Linked DNA regions of Alligator mississippiensis. The protein of the gene in region 2 interacts with the protein of the main gene of each other region in a pairwise test. Links are inferred from orthologs where the notes say so. Each region holds a gene or a part of one and is shown on either strand. Other genes may lie near its edges. The genes, in order: FBXW5, ADAMTSL4 and CFAP206.

Evidence for each region.
Region 1: the proteins of ADAMTSL4 (region 2) and FBXW5 interact in binary tests that used the Homo sapiens proteins (3 or more experiments, as listed by UniProt). The two-hybrid records come from large-scale screens. The link is inferred for Alligator mississippiensis from reciprocal best matches to the Homo sapiens genes ADAMTSL4 and FBXW5.
Region 3: the proteins of ADAMTSL4 (region 2) and CFAP206 interact in binary tests that used the Homo sapiens proteins (3 or more experiments, as listed by UniProt). The two-hybrid records come from large-scale screens. The link is inferred for Alligator mississippiensis from reciprocal best matches to the Homo sapiens genes ADAMTSL4 and CFAP206.

The regions. Positions count from the first base shown.
Region 1 is NC_081835.1:50,641,379-50,645,121, forward strand, and holds the start of FBXW5 (F-box/WD repeat-containing protein 5), read right to left. Parts: upstream 2,431-3,743; 5' UTR 2,343-2,430; intron 2,337-2,342; exon of another isoform or gene 2,124-2,336; intron 732-2,123; 5' UTR 707-731; coding exon 514-706; intron 380-513; coding exon 222-379; intron 1-221. UniProt on the Homo sapiens protein: Substrate recognition component of both SCF (SKP1-CUL1-F-box protein) and DCX (DDB1-CUL4-X-box) E3 ubiquitin-protein ligase complexes.
Region 2 is NC_081838.1:19,041,687-19,045,429, reverse strand, and holds the start of ADAMTSL4 (ADAMTS-like protein 4), read right to left. Parts: upstream 2,553-3,743; 5' UTR 2,418-2,552; intron 369-2,417; exon of another isoform or gene 257-368; intron 1-256. UniProt on the Homo sapiens protein: Positive regulation of apoptosis. May facilitate FBN1 microfibril biogenesis.
Region 3 is NC_081824.1:75,399,330-75,403,072, reverse strand, and holds the start of CFAP206 (cilia- and flagella-associated protein 206), read right to left. Parts: upstream 2,681-3,743; 5' UTR 2,587-2,680; coding exon 2,564-2,586; intron 2,325-2,563; exon of another isoform or gene 2,022-2,324; intron 859-2,021; coding exon 750-858; intron 1-749. UniProt on the Homo sapiens protein: Essential for sperm motility and is involved in the regulation of the beating frequency of motile cilia on the epithelial cells of the respiratory tract. Required for the establishment of radial spokes in sperm flagella.

The DNA.
Region 1 (3,743 bases), on a different chromosome or scaffold from region 2:
AGCTGCAGCATCTCCTCCACAGTGCCTGATCCAAAGGCCTCACTATACTAACCAATCAGATCAGCTCCCAGCAAAGGAAAGGGAGGAGGAGGAAGAAGAGGAAGATCAGGGTACAACAGCTTGACAGAAGTTTATACAGCTGGAGTCAAAGCTTGAGCCTACCTCACTTGGTACAAGTGAACAAACAAATCAGCCAGTACAAGAGCCGGCTACTTCTTTACCTTAACAGTGCAGTCCTTGGAGCAGGATGCAAACAGGTAGCCAGAATGGGAGAAGCTGAGGTGCAAGACCTGGTCACTGTGCTCCCTGAGGGTCTGTACTTCAACGCACGGGATGGTGTCATAGAGTCTCTGGAACTCATCGTACCAGGAAACAGCGACTGCAACACACAAGCCGAGACATTTGGGAATCGGAAGGCAGCAAGGAGGGGATGGGGGTTAGCCACAAGCAGAGGCCACGGAGTTGGGTGGCTTTGCCTGTAGCAGTTACAGCGCACAATTAAAGATACCTGACCTGGGTGCCGCGGCACTTCCCGAGAAATCCGGTAGTATCGATAAAATAGTTCCTTCCACAAGAACTCATCCCGGGCCACTGCGTGCCACTGCCGACACACCAGTGTTGCTGAGAGCACGTCTACGTGGTCCAGGTAGAGGAAGATCTCATAGAGGACGCTGTCAGGGAGAAGGGGATTACCCCCAACATCCATAGTGTCATTCTGTCACCAAAGGACTCTGGAGAGACACAGGAATGCAGTTAGTTTCCACCAACCTGCCTAGCATATCATTAGGGAGACACTTGCCCAGAACAGGGAGGCTGCCATGCCTGAGCAAGCACGCTCACAGGCAAAGCAAGCAATCGCGGCTTCTCACAGGCAGAGGCAAATGTACCCACTTTAAACAGTCATGTTTCCAATTGCAAACACTTGTCAGGAAAACAGCATTGGTGGGCTGGGGAGGGCAGTTTTAAACTAAACCTGAGACCAGTTTTCTCTTCACTTGCCCTCATGCAGATGAAGCTTTTTTGAAATAAAGAAAAAAGTTCACACATGTGGCAGCCCCCATGGTCCTATGTCTGGAGGCACATGAACACGAAGCATCGGGCACGTGCCTGACTTCAGTCCTGTGCACAGTGACCCCCAGTGCGGTCCACCAGCAGGACTTGAAAGCGAGACCTTCAGCATGAAAGCAGTGAGCTGAACCACGTGAAGCACGGAGCTGAACAAAGGGTGCAAACGGAGGCAGCGTTGATGCCTATAGGAAGCTGCCTAGTGGAGCGGTTCGGCGGGTCTGCTCCTACAGCCACGTCCTCGTAACTCTAACGCCATCTTGATCACAGTTAACATTAGTGACGCTGACCACTTGCAGCTCCTGTAGTGACAGAGCATAGCAGCTCACACGCACCCCCCAAAACAGCTCCTCCTTCCCTTTTAAATCAGTGGACAGCTAATAGGCTTTGGCTGTGGACCGCTTCAACACCAGCCAGTCGCGCAGCGCGCAGACCAGGCACAGGGGAGCACGTACAGACCGAGCTTGCTACGCTGCCACTTTCCCTGGCGAGCGCGAGAGGTCTGCGGCCTGACACTGAGCAGCGCGTCCTGCTGTCAGCCCGCAGCAGCGCTGCCTACGGACCTGGCACCCAGACTCCAGCACAGCTCAGACGTTTGGGATGCGTTTGCTCTGCCAGGAGGCGAGGAGCACACACTGTGTTTACGAAATGCGCTACGCGTCTCGAGCCCCACGGAGAAAGCGCCAGCAGCAACTGCTGCTGCTCGACGCGCCGATCCTTTTGCTCCAACACTAAGAGGTGAATCTCGGTGCAAGGCTGACGGCCGGTGGGGGCCGAGAGCAGCCGGGACCCCAGCGAGGCCGGTCGTGTCGCCGAGTCCTGGGGAAGCAGCAGCAAGCTCTGGCCCTGCCGCCGGGGGCACTGGAGGGCAACCGGCCGCACCCGCAGCCTCCCCGAGTGCCACCGCGACCCCTGCCCCTGCCCTGGCCTGCTGCTCTGCTTTCTGCCCCTGCCCCGCCCCAGTCCGGCCTGCCGCTCCTGTCCCACCCGCCGCTCTGCTTTCCGCTCCCCTCCCCGGCCTGCCCCGCGCCCAGCGAGCGGCCGCCGCGGGCAGGCACCTGCAGGAAACCGGGCTCCGGGCGGCCGCGCCCCCGGGGGCCGGAGCCGGCGCGAGGAGCAGGGAAGCGCGGGGGTGCTCGGACCCGGCGCCGCGTCTACACTAGGGTCCCGGCTGGCCCCGCCCTCACGCGGCCCGGACCATCTCAACCGGGGGTGGGGGGGCAGCCTCGTGCACCGCCCTCGCCCCGATGGTACCGCCCGCCCCACCCCCGCGAGACCTTCTCCTCTCCTGCTTCTGCGCTCTGCCGCACGCCGCTTCCGGCCCCTCCCGCCTCACTTCCGCTCCGGCCTGTGCTGGCCGCTCTAGCCCCTCTCTGTGCTCCGCAGCCACGCCCCATCCCCTAGGCCTAACGGCTTCATCCCAGAGCGCCGCCCGGCCAGGCCTGGCGAGTAGAGCTCGGCATCATCCGTTTCTCCAGTCACCTCCACGTGTTCCTGCCCCTCTGCGGGAGGTGTCGCGTCAGGCGGGCGCCCGGCGCCCAGCACCCTCTACCCCGCGTCCAGCACCCAACACCTAGTGTCCAGCACCCTCTACCCCGCGTCCAGCACCCAACACCTAGTGTCCAGCACCCAGTACCCACTACCCAACATCCAGCACCCAGCCAGCCCTGGCGCTGCTGTGTTGGGCTTGCCCCATAGGTGATGCTTTATGCAAATGAGACCTCGGTATGCAAAATACTTTGCATTGATTAACCGGGAGCTAATAAGAGCCAGCACATGATCCTTCCCGGAGCTGCACCCCGTGGCAGGGAGAACCAGGCTGGCGCCCAGCGGCGAAATGAGGGCCCTGCTCATTGCCACTGCACCAGCGCTAGGAGCCTGGGAGCTGTCAGGAGCTGGCCAGGCTCATGGAGTCGCAGCAGGGGGTTTGGGCGCATTTAGCCCCGCCCTGCCCAGAGTACAGGGCTGCACCTGGATCCGTGGCAGCCCTTCCTCTTGCTGGGGTTAATAGCAGTTGTGCATCTGCCTGCGATGCCTGCTACATGTTACATCTGTGACACAATGGACAGGTGAATCGTGTCATAGGTTTAGACCAGCCACACATGTAAAGTGATCCTCACACCATCAAAATGACTCCAGATCCAACCACCTAAGAGTCAGTGGTTGAAATTGTAGTCCGCAGGTTTGTCATTACCCTAAAATAGAATAGTTTTCTGAAAGCATACTGTTAGGTTTACAATAATTTGGATTTTTAAGAAGTATTAGCTTTACAGCTGAATACAAGGCATGACCTGTGGCCTAGTAATGCAGCTGACCACAAGGCAGAATGATAGCTAGGCCTTTGCTTGTGTCAAGTAATCATTTTAACTGCAACAAGCATTTTCTGAGTTAAAAAGTGAATCTGTGTCTGTGCGCTAAAAAAAATCAGCTACAGCAAGAAGTAAGATAAGACAGAGAAACCATTGTTTTGAGCTTACTGGTTGTGTCCTTGAGAAGTATCTTCTACTGTGTAAGGTTTTGCTAACATAATGTTACTGTTACTTAACTTTTAGCTTTTCAAAAGTGCTAGTTCAGCTTAATAGAAATATGCTGTTACAAAGATTTGTAGAGCACCGCCCCAAGTATTGCTTTTTGTTAACCATATAGTCTTGCTTTGTTGTAAGAAGTATAAAAGATCG
Region 2 (3,743 bases):
ACCAGATCCCGGGGAGGGGGGGGATCAGATCCCGGTGTCTGTTGGCTGGGAGGGGATCGGATCCTAGTATTTCTTGGCCGGGGGGCCAGATCCCAATGCCCCTCGGCCGGGGGATCCGGGCGGCTCTGCCCCGCGGGGCCCCGATCCCGGCCCGGGCAGGTCGCGCACACGTGGCAGGTGCCGCCGAGACACCCGCGCCCGCCGGCCGGCCCCGATCCCGCTCCCGCTCCCGCTCCCGCTCCCGCCCCGGCTCTACCTGCTGCTGCCGGCGCTGCCCGGGCCGGCCGGGCGCGGGGTCCCGTCCCGGGCTCCTGCCGCCGCCGCCGCTCCGCCTCCTGCCGCCCGCGCTGCCCCGCCGCGGTGGGCTCGTCCCGGCCCCGGCCCCGGCCCCGGCCCGGCCCGGCCCGGCCCCGCCCCGCCCCGCCCCGCCCCGCGGGCGGCTCCCACGGCCCGCACCGGCACCGCCACTGCCTCTGTGCCGAGAAGACCCCGCGCTTGGGGGACACACACACACTGACCCACAGCTTGCACACCCTATCTGACACACTCTCTATACTTTCTCTCTCCAAAGAACGCACACGCGCACACACTCACACGAACATACAGCTCTACAGGGAACACACACACAACATACCGGAGACACACACACTCTGTACAGGAGAGATGCACAGACACACACACAGTCTACAGGGAACACACACACCTGTGCACACCCGCATCAATACCAATCTACGGGGAAGACACGTGCACACACACTCTGTACAGGAAAGAAAGACACATGCACACATGAACACACAGCTTTACAGAGTACACACACACAACATACACACGGGAGATGCACACGCTGTCTCCATACAGGGGAGATGCACACACACACAGTCTACAGGGAATGCACACACCTGTGTACACACACATCAATACCAAGCTACAGGGAAGACGCATACACACACTCACGCACACACACACACACACATGCACACACAGATCGACAGGGAACACACCTGACCCCCAGCTACAGGGAGCACACACAATCTGTGGGGAAGACCCCCCAGCCTACAGGGCAGACACACAGTCCCCCCATGAATAGCCCCTCCCGGCAGGGCCCAGCTGTGCTGGCTCCGGCCTTTCCTGACCTGCCCCGGTCTGGAGGAGGCCCCGGCCCAGCCCTGTCCCTGGTTCTCCCCAGCCCCATGGAGCAGATCAGGCCCAGGGCTTGTCCCAGCTCGCGTGGTGCTGCTTGGAGGAACCAGGAGACAACCCAGGCATCCGGGCTCCCACTGGGAGCAGAGGCAACCTGCGGCTTTGCACTGGGCAGCACAGGGCCCAGCTGGGGCAGGTGAAGTGCCACCGGGGCAGCAGCAGATAGACGAGCGCCCCTTTGAATCCAGGTGCACAGAGGAGCAGTTGGAAACGATTCATAAACCCTCAGCCCAGATCCCCCCACTCGCACTGGGTCTCGCAGAGCAGCTTCTCGCCCCCAAGCCGTCAGTGCTCTTATCCCCATTTCACACCTAGGTCAACCGAAGCACGCAGCAGGGGACAGAACTGGATCGAGCTCACTTGGCAGACTGGGGGGAGAAATGAACCCAGGTATCCGGCAGCCCAGTGCTCTGCTTCTCACGGGCACAGGAGAAAGTTACCCCTGGGGTGGGGAATGGCAGCACAGCGGTGGACAGCACGGGGAGCAGAGAGCAGAGCAGTGCATTGGGCAGGAGAAGGGCATTGGAGTGCCACTCAGGGTGGGCAGGGGTGTTTGCGGCCCACCTGCCCCCCACTGCTCCAGGGCCTGGGAAACCCCCCCTCCAGGGTCTCTGGCCTCTCCAAGGAACCAGCCCCTGGCCCACGGGGTGAGCGTGGCAGGTTATTCACTTGGCAGGGGTCCTGCAGGCGCTAGCCAAGACTGCGGCTGGAGCTGCAGGCCCCATGCAGGGCAAGAGACATCTTCCAAAGAGCTCCCCATGGAACCAGGCCAAGTAACATGCTCCCAGCCTGGTGACACCCAGATCAGACCCCCTTCTTGGAGGTCCCTTGAGATGCACTGGCTGCTGGGCCCGGGATCGCAGCCCTGCCGGCCCCACGGTTCTCCCCAGGGTCATGAGCAGCTGGGGGAAGGCCAGGAGCACGATGGCTTCCCAGGTGCTCTCTGCTCTCCCCTTCCCGCCGGCCCCTGGCAGCCCAGATCGGAGCAGGAACCTGAAACCAACCATCTCCCGATGGCAGAGATGCAGCTCCCTGGGCTTGGCATGAACTGCTGGCACCAGCCCAGGCCTGGCTCTCATCCCCAGCAGGCCAGGCTCCCCCCCACGCCAGGGGGCTGGAAGACAGGGGCTCAAATACCCCTTTTTGCCCCCTGATGCCATCCAGGGACCTCATCCCGGGTCTCCGCTAGAGCAAGGAGACCCATATCTGCTACTAACCTGCTGGGTGGCCTTGGTATTCTGCTGCCTGTGCCCAGCCCCCGCAGAAGCTAATAACCGAACATCCCTTGGGACCCCCAAGATGAGACGCGTGGATGGTTGGGGTTCCCCATTACCGTCTGGCAGGACCCGGCTCCTCTCTGGGAAGCATGAGATGCACAAACTCCCAAGCAGAGAAGGTCGGGGATGCTTTCAGTTGTGTGTTGGGGGGGGAGGGGAGAATAAAAGTCCTGCGTCTGTCCAGATAAGGGGGATGTTGCTATCAAGCCAGAACATGGCATTTTGGGACCGTGCCAGGTTGACCTGTTTGAAACGCTCTGAATTTTCCTTTCAAAGAGCCTTTGCAAAATAAGCCCGACCGTCCAGCAACTCTAACGCTGCAGAGAGTTAAAAGAAGGTCGCGCCGGGGACAAAAATGTCTCTGTCTTTATCAGCGACATGTTTCAGTGACTTCAAAATTCCTCCTTTTATCCCCCACCTCCGCTGCCCACCCCTAAAACACACATACATGCACAACGGGGCCATTTTCTGCCCACCTTAGAAGAAAAATCTGCAATCCCCAATTTCCAGAAAAGCGGGAAAAATCCAGCATCTGCTTGATGAAGAGCAACCTCAGCTGAGCCTTTCCCCACCGAGGCGCTTAGAAGTTTGCTAACTCCAGATGTTCCTTTTCAGCTGTTTTTTTTTTAATTTGGAAATAACTTATTGCTCTGTGGACGCCATCCAGCTGAACGCAGCAGTGCTGGTCTCTTACTATCCAGTTACTCTGCTGTATGAGGCTGGGGTGGATCGGGGCAGGGGGTGCATTGATGCCGTGCACCCCAAATTTAAACCAAACTACCCGGCCGTAGAAGTGGCATTTCTATTTGGGGAGTCACAACTTCTTGACTCGTTGGGCTCTTCCTTCTCAGCATTTCATGACATGTATTAACGACCCTCGCTCTTTTTAAACTGTCTCGATGCTCCGCTAATCAAGCTATCTGCTCTCCTGCAGTTCTGCCGCCTGTTAGGTGCTCCTGGGAACGGAGCTCTTATTTCGCAGCCCAGCTGACTGGTTTTTACCTCTAGCTCAAAACACAAACTGAGACGTGGGGACAAAGTTTTAGTAAAGCTCTGGACATGCTCTCAAAATGTATTGTTTTTGCCTCTGTTGCTGGGTTTTTTAAACACCCGGGGTATGATAGAGCAAATTAATGACCTTTCCAATAAAGAGGCCTGTGAGGTTCTTTGGGAAAATGTGATATCTTTTACTTGAGCAGCTAAATATTTGGAAAAATTGTTCTTTGCAAGCTTTTGGGCACAAACACCCTTTGTCAGGCAGATCCA
Region 3 (3,743 bases), on a different chromosome or scaffold from region 2:
CCCGGGGCTCCACAACCCTTGGCCAGGACTAGGTGTATGTTATCAGTTAACGGTTTAACCAGTATACTTAGAGGAGGTTAAATGGATAATTTGTAAACAATATTTACATCCCTAGTTGCCATGGGAGGGTAGGGGGCAGGGAGAAGCAGGGACAAGGAAAAGCAATGGTGGTGGTGGCAGCAGCCAGGTTGGGACAATGACTTCGCTCAGACATGAGCCAGGTTGCCCCAGCTCACAGCTGCAAAACTCTGCCGCCATAGATCAATGAGACTAAACAAGAGTGACTTCACACGTATTTATAACTGTTTACAGTAATTGGTGCCATTGTGCACTATAGAGTCCTATGCCCAGAATAAGCACTTCACAAAAACTCCTTTATAAGTATATCAAATCAATGAAGCTCTTGACTACAACACGTCACTTCTAGCTCTACTGAAGCTCTCTTCTTCTGAGCATTAAGGCCAAGGAATTTTAAGTCCTTTGCTTAACATCATTCATTGCAAGTAGTCTCAGAGACACAGGGGGTGTTACAGCAAGTAAAATTTAAATCTTTGCAGGATCAACGTCTAAAAAACAGATCTAGATGACTAACTATAGACACCCAAGTATAAAATTTAAGAGCGATATGCTCAATTGCTAAATCTTTGTACCTGCTCATTGAAAATGTCACTAATCTCAGAGGGATGTTAACATGATCCAAATAATGCTAACAGGTTAATGCATGGCTAAAATACTCATTTTGCTCTTACCATGAAAGCCACCAAGGTTTCAGGCACAGTTTGTCCTTTGATGGCACATTCTTGTCCTATTTCACGGATGATGTTCTTAATGACACTTTCAGCCTCAGCGTGAGCCATTCTAGACAAACAGCACAGTAACAGGTTTCATCATAATACACGACAGATGCGTCTTTCATCATCTCTTTGTCCCACCGCAACCTTTACTGAGACTACATGTTTTCTGCAAGACCTCTCAGCCTTCCAAGTGTTTACTAACAGCTTGACAAGGCAGCGGAGGTGATTTACAGTGCAGTGGCACGCAAGCAACAAGAGTATTTCCAAGCGGAAAGAAATTGTATGAAAAACAAAATGCAAAAGGGAAAATATACAAACGTAGCATATAAAACAATTTTGCCTGCCTCTCTTCATTATTCTTTTTTTTTTCTGTTCTCCCATTCTCCTTCTTTCCATTTTCAGTTGCTTGGAGCGGACACTGACCAGGGACCAACACACTGCCCTTTATTATTATGTAGTGAGTATTCTGATTAATTCACTGGGAGGAAAATGTTCTTATTTTGGGAAAAAATATCTCTGAACCCCACACAAAATCTATTTAAGATGAAAATGGATCTATTACAGGCCTGGCAACCTTTTACTGCCATGGTCCACTGCTAGTAATCTGCCCTGCACCATAGGCCACAAACCTCGAGAGCATGTGCAACCGACATCCCCTTCCATGCCATCCCAGACCCCAACAACAAGGGAAGGGCTCTGGAGGGGACAGGGAGCACAGGGCAAGACTGGATCAGACATCCTGCTGTCACCTGACAGGAGAAATCTCTCTCATCCTGTGTGACCAGGACTAGGCCCTGTGGTTCACACCAACATGGGCCAGAAAAGGAAATCACTTGGTGGCATTTCTGAAGGCAGCGGAGGTTTCTGCAGAGCTGGAGAAACGGGGAATCTCACTGGAGCCTCTGACAGCATCCCTGACAAGTGGGGGGGGGGGTCTATCACGAGGGGCGAGAAGGGAGCGCAGAGTGGACATGATCAAAAAAGTCATGATTCAGGCAACATACATCAGGCTAATGCTATACTAGCAGAAGTACAAAATTGCAAAGTCCCTATGGCTCTCCTAGCACCTGATGTAGAGGCCTTTGATTGTGTTTCCTAGAAGCACTTTTTTTGCGCATTACAGAAGACGGGATTTGGTAAAGAATTCATAAGGTGGATACAGCTGTGATACACAAATCCCATTTCAACTGTTTGACCCAATAACACTTATCTGACCATTGCCCTTACGGTGTCAATGGGCAACTTGACACAGTTGTCCATTATCCCCCTTCTACTGGGTGCAACACTGGAACCACTGGCCGCAGCTGTCACGAACGAGGGGATATGAGAGTCTTTGAGGCATAAGTAATGAACACCAGCTCCTGCTGTGTGCAGAGGAGGCGCTAACACTTCTGTCACAGGCTCAGAGGAGCTCCTGCCCTCTGAGCATTAATACAATTACAGTAATCGACCTGGCTATAAAATTAATAGAACTAAAATGTAAATGAGGGCGAGCCTGCGCTCCCCGCCACCCCCACAACTACGCCAGCAGCCGCTGCGCATGCGCAATGAAAATTTCACCCCCCCTGCGCATGCCCCGGGCTGGGAAGGTATCTCTGCGCACGCGCAGCAGGGAAAGCTCCGCGCGTGCGCGGAACCCCGAAAGCAGCCTCTTCCAATGCAGGGGGCGCTTTGCTTCACACTGGCCACGCGGACAGCTGCTGGGGGGGGCGGGGCAATCCAAACCGGCCCGGGGGTCGCGCGCAGGTGCCCCCTTCCCCAATCCTAACCGCAGCCCGGAGAATCCGCGCATTTACCCGCCTCCGGCCCCGCCAGGACGCGCCGATCTGGTGTTGTCATGGAGACAGAACGCCGCGGCGCCTTGGGGGCGTGGCTAGGCGGGGGGAGGGCGGCCCAGCGCTCTGTGCTGAGCAGGGGCTAAGAGCCAATGGGGCACCGGCAGGGGGCGGAGCCAAGAGGTGGTGGCAGTGGGCGGTGCCCGCGCTCTGCAGCTGCCTGGTAGAGAGCAGGGCTGAGGGCGGGCGCAGGCAGGTTCCGCTGCAAGCGTTTACTTGGTCTCGTTACAGATCTCGCCTCTGTCAGGAGTTCTGCATATTTCCTGCAGTTGAAGCGACACAGTGGTGGGCTACACCTTAGCTGTTGCCTCACAGGAGAGGGGGGAGGCATCGTGGGCAGGGCGCTGATGATAGCCCTCAGAAAGGCAGACAAGGTGTTGGGGATCGTTCAGAGGGAACTTGTGCACAAATGTCATCCTGCTCCTTTATAAATCCCTGGTGCGTCCACACCGTGAATGCTGCTGTGCCTAGTTTTCATAGACGTTTGGGCTGGAAGGGACCTCATAAGATCATCAGGTCCAGGCCCCTGCCCAAGGGGCAGAAAGTCAGCCAGGGTCAAAGGATCCCAACAAAATAGATACCCAAATGTTTCTTGAAAGTGTCCAGCGTAGGTGCTTGCAGCTCTGGGCCCCTCGCCTCACAGAAGGAGAGAGGAACTAGAGCCAGGGGCCAGAGAAGGGCCGGGGGGGGGGGGGCGCTTCCACATGAGGAGGGAGACCAAAGAGGCTGGGTGTGGCCAGTTTAGAAAAGAGGCTTGAGGGGGGCTGTGATGAGGGTTTACGAAATAGAAAATGGGGTTGAGAAAGTAAGTAGGGATTTATTATTTGGTGTCTTAATACAAGGAGAAGGGGTCAAGAAAGGAAACTAGCAGGTAGTAGGTTTAAAATTAACAAAATGAAGGTCTTTCACCAGCATGTAATGAAAGTGAGGGAATCATTTGCTAGGGACCTACCTAAACTGCAGCAGTAGTTCCTGGCACAGCAGTGCCTGTAATCTTGCTCTTGCGTGTGGCAAAAAGAGCAACATTAAAGGCATAAACAACACGTAAGCTTTGAGAGTGGGGGGCACAACTCTGTGCCACCAGCCCCACTGCTAGGCTGCAGCCCTGTACCTG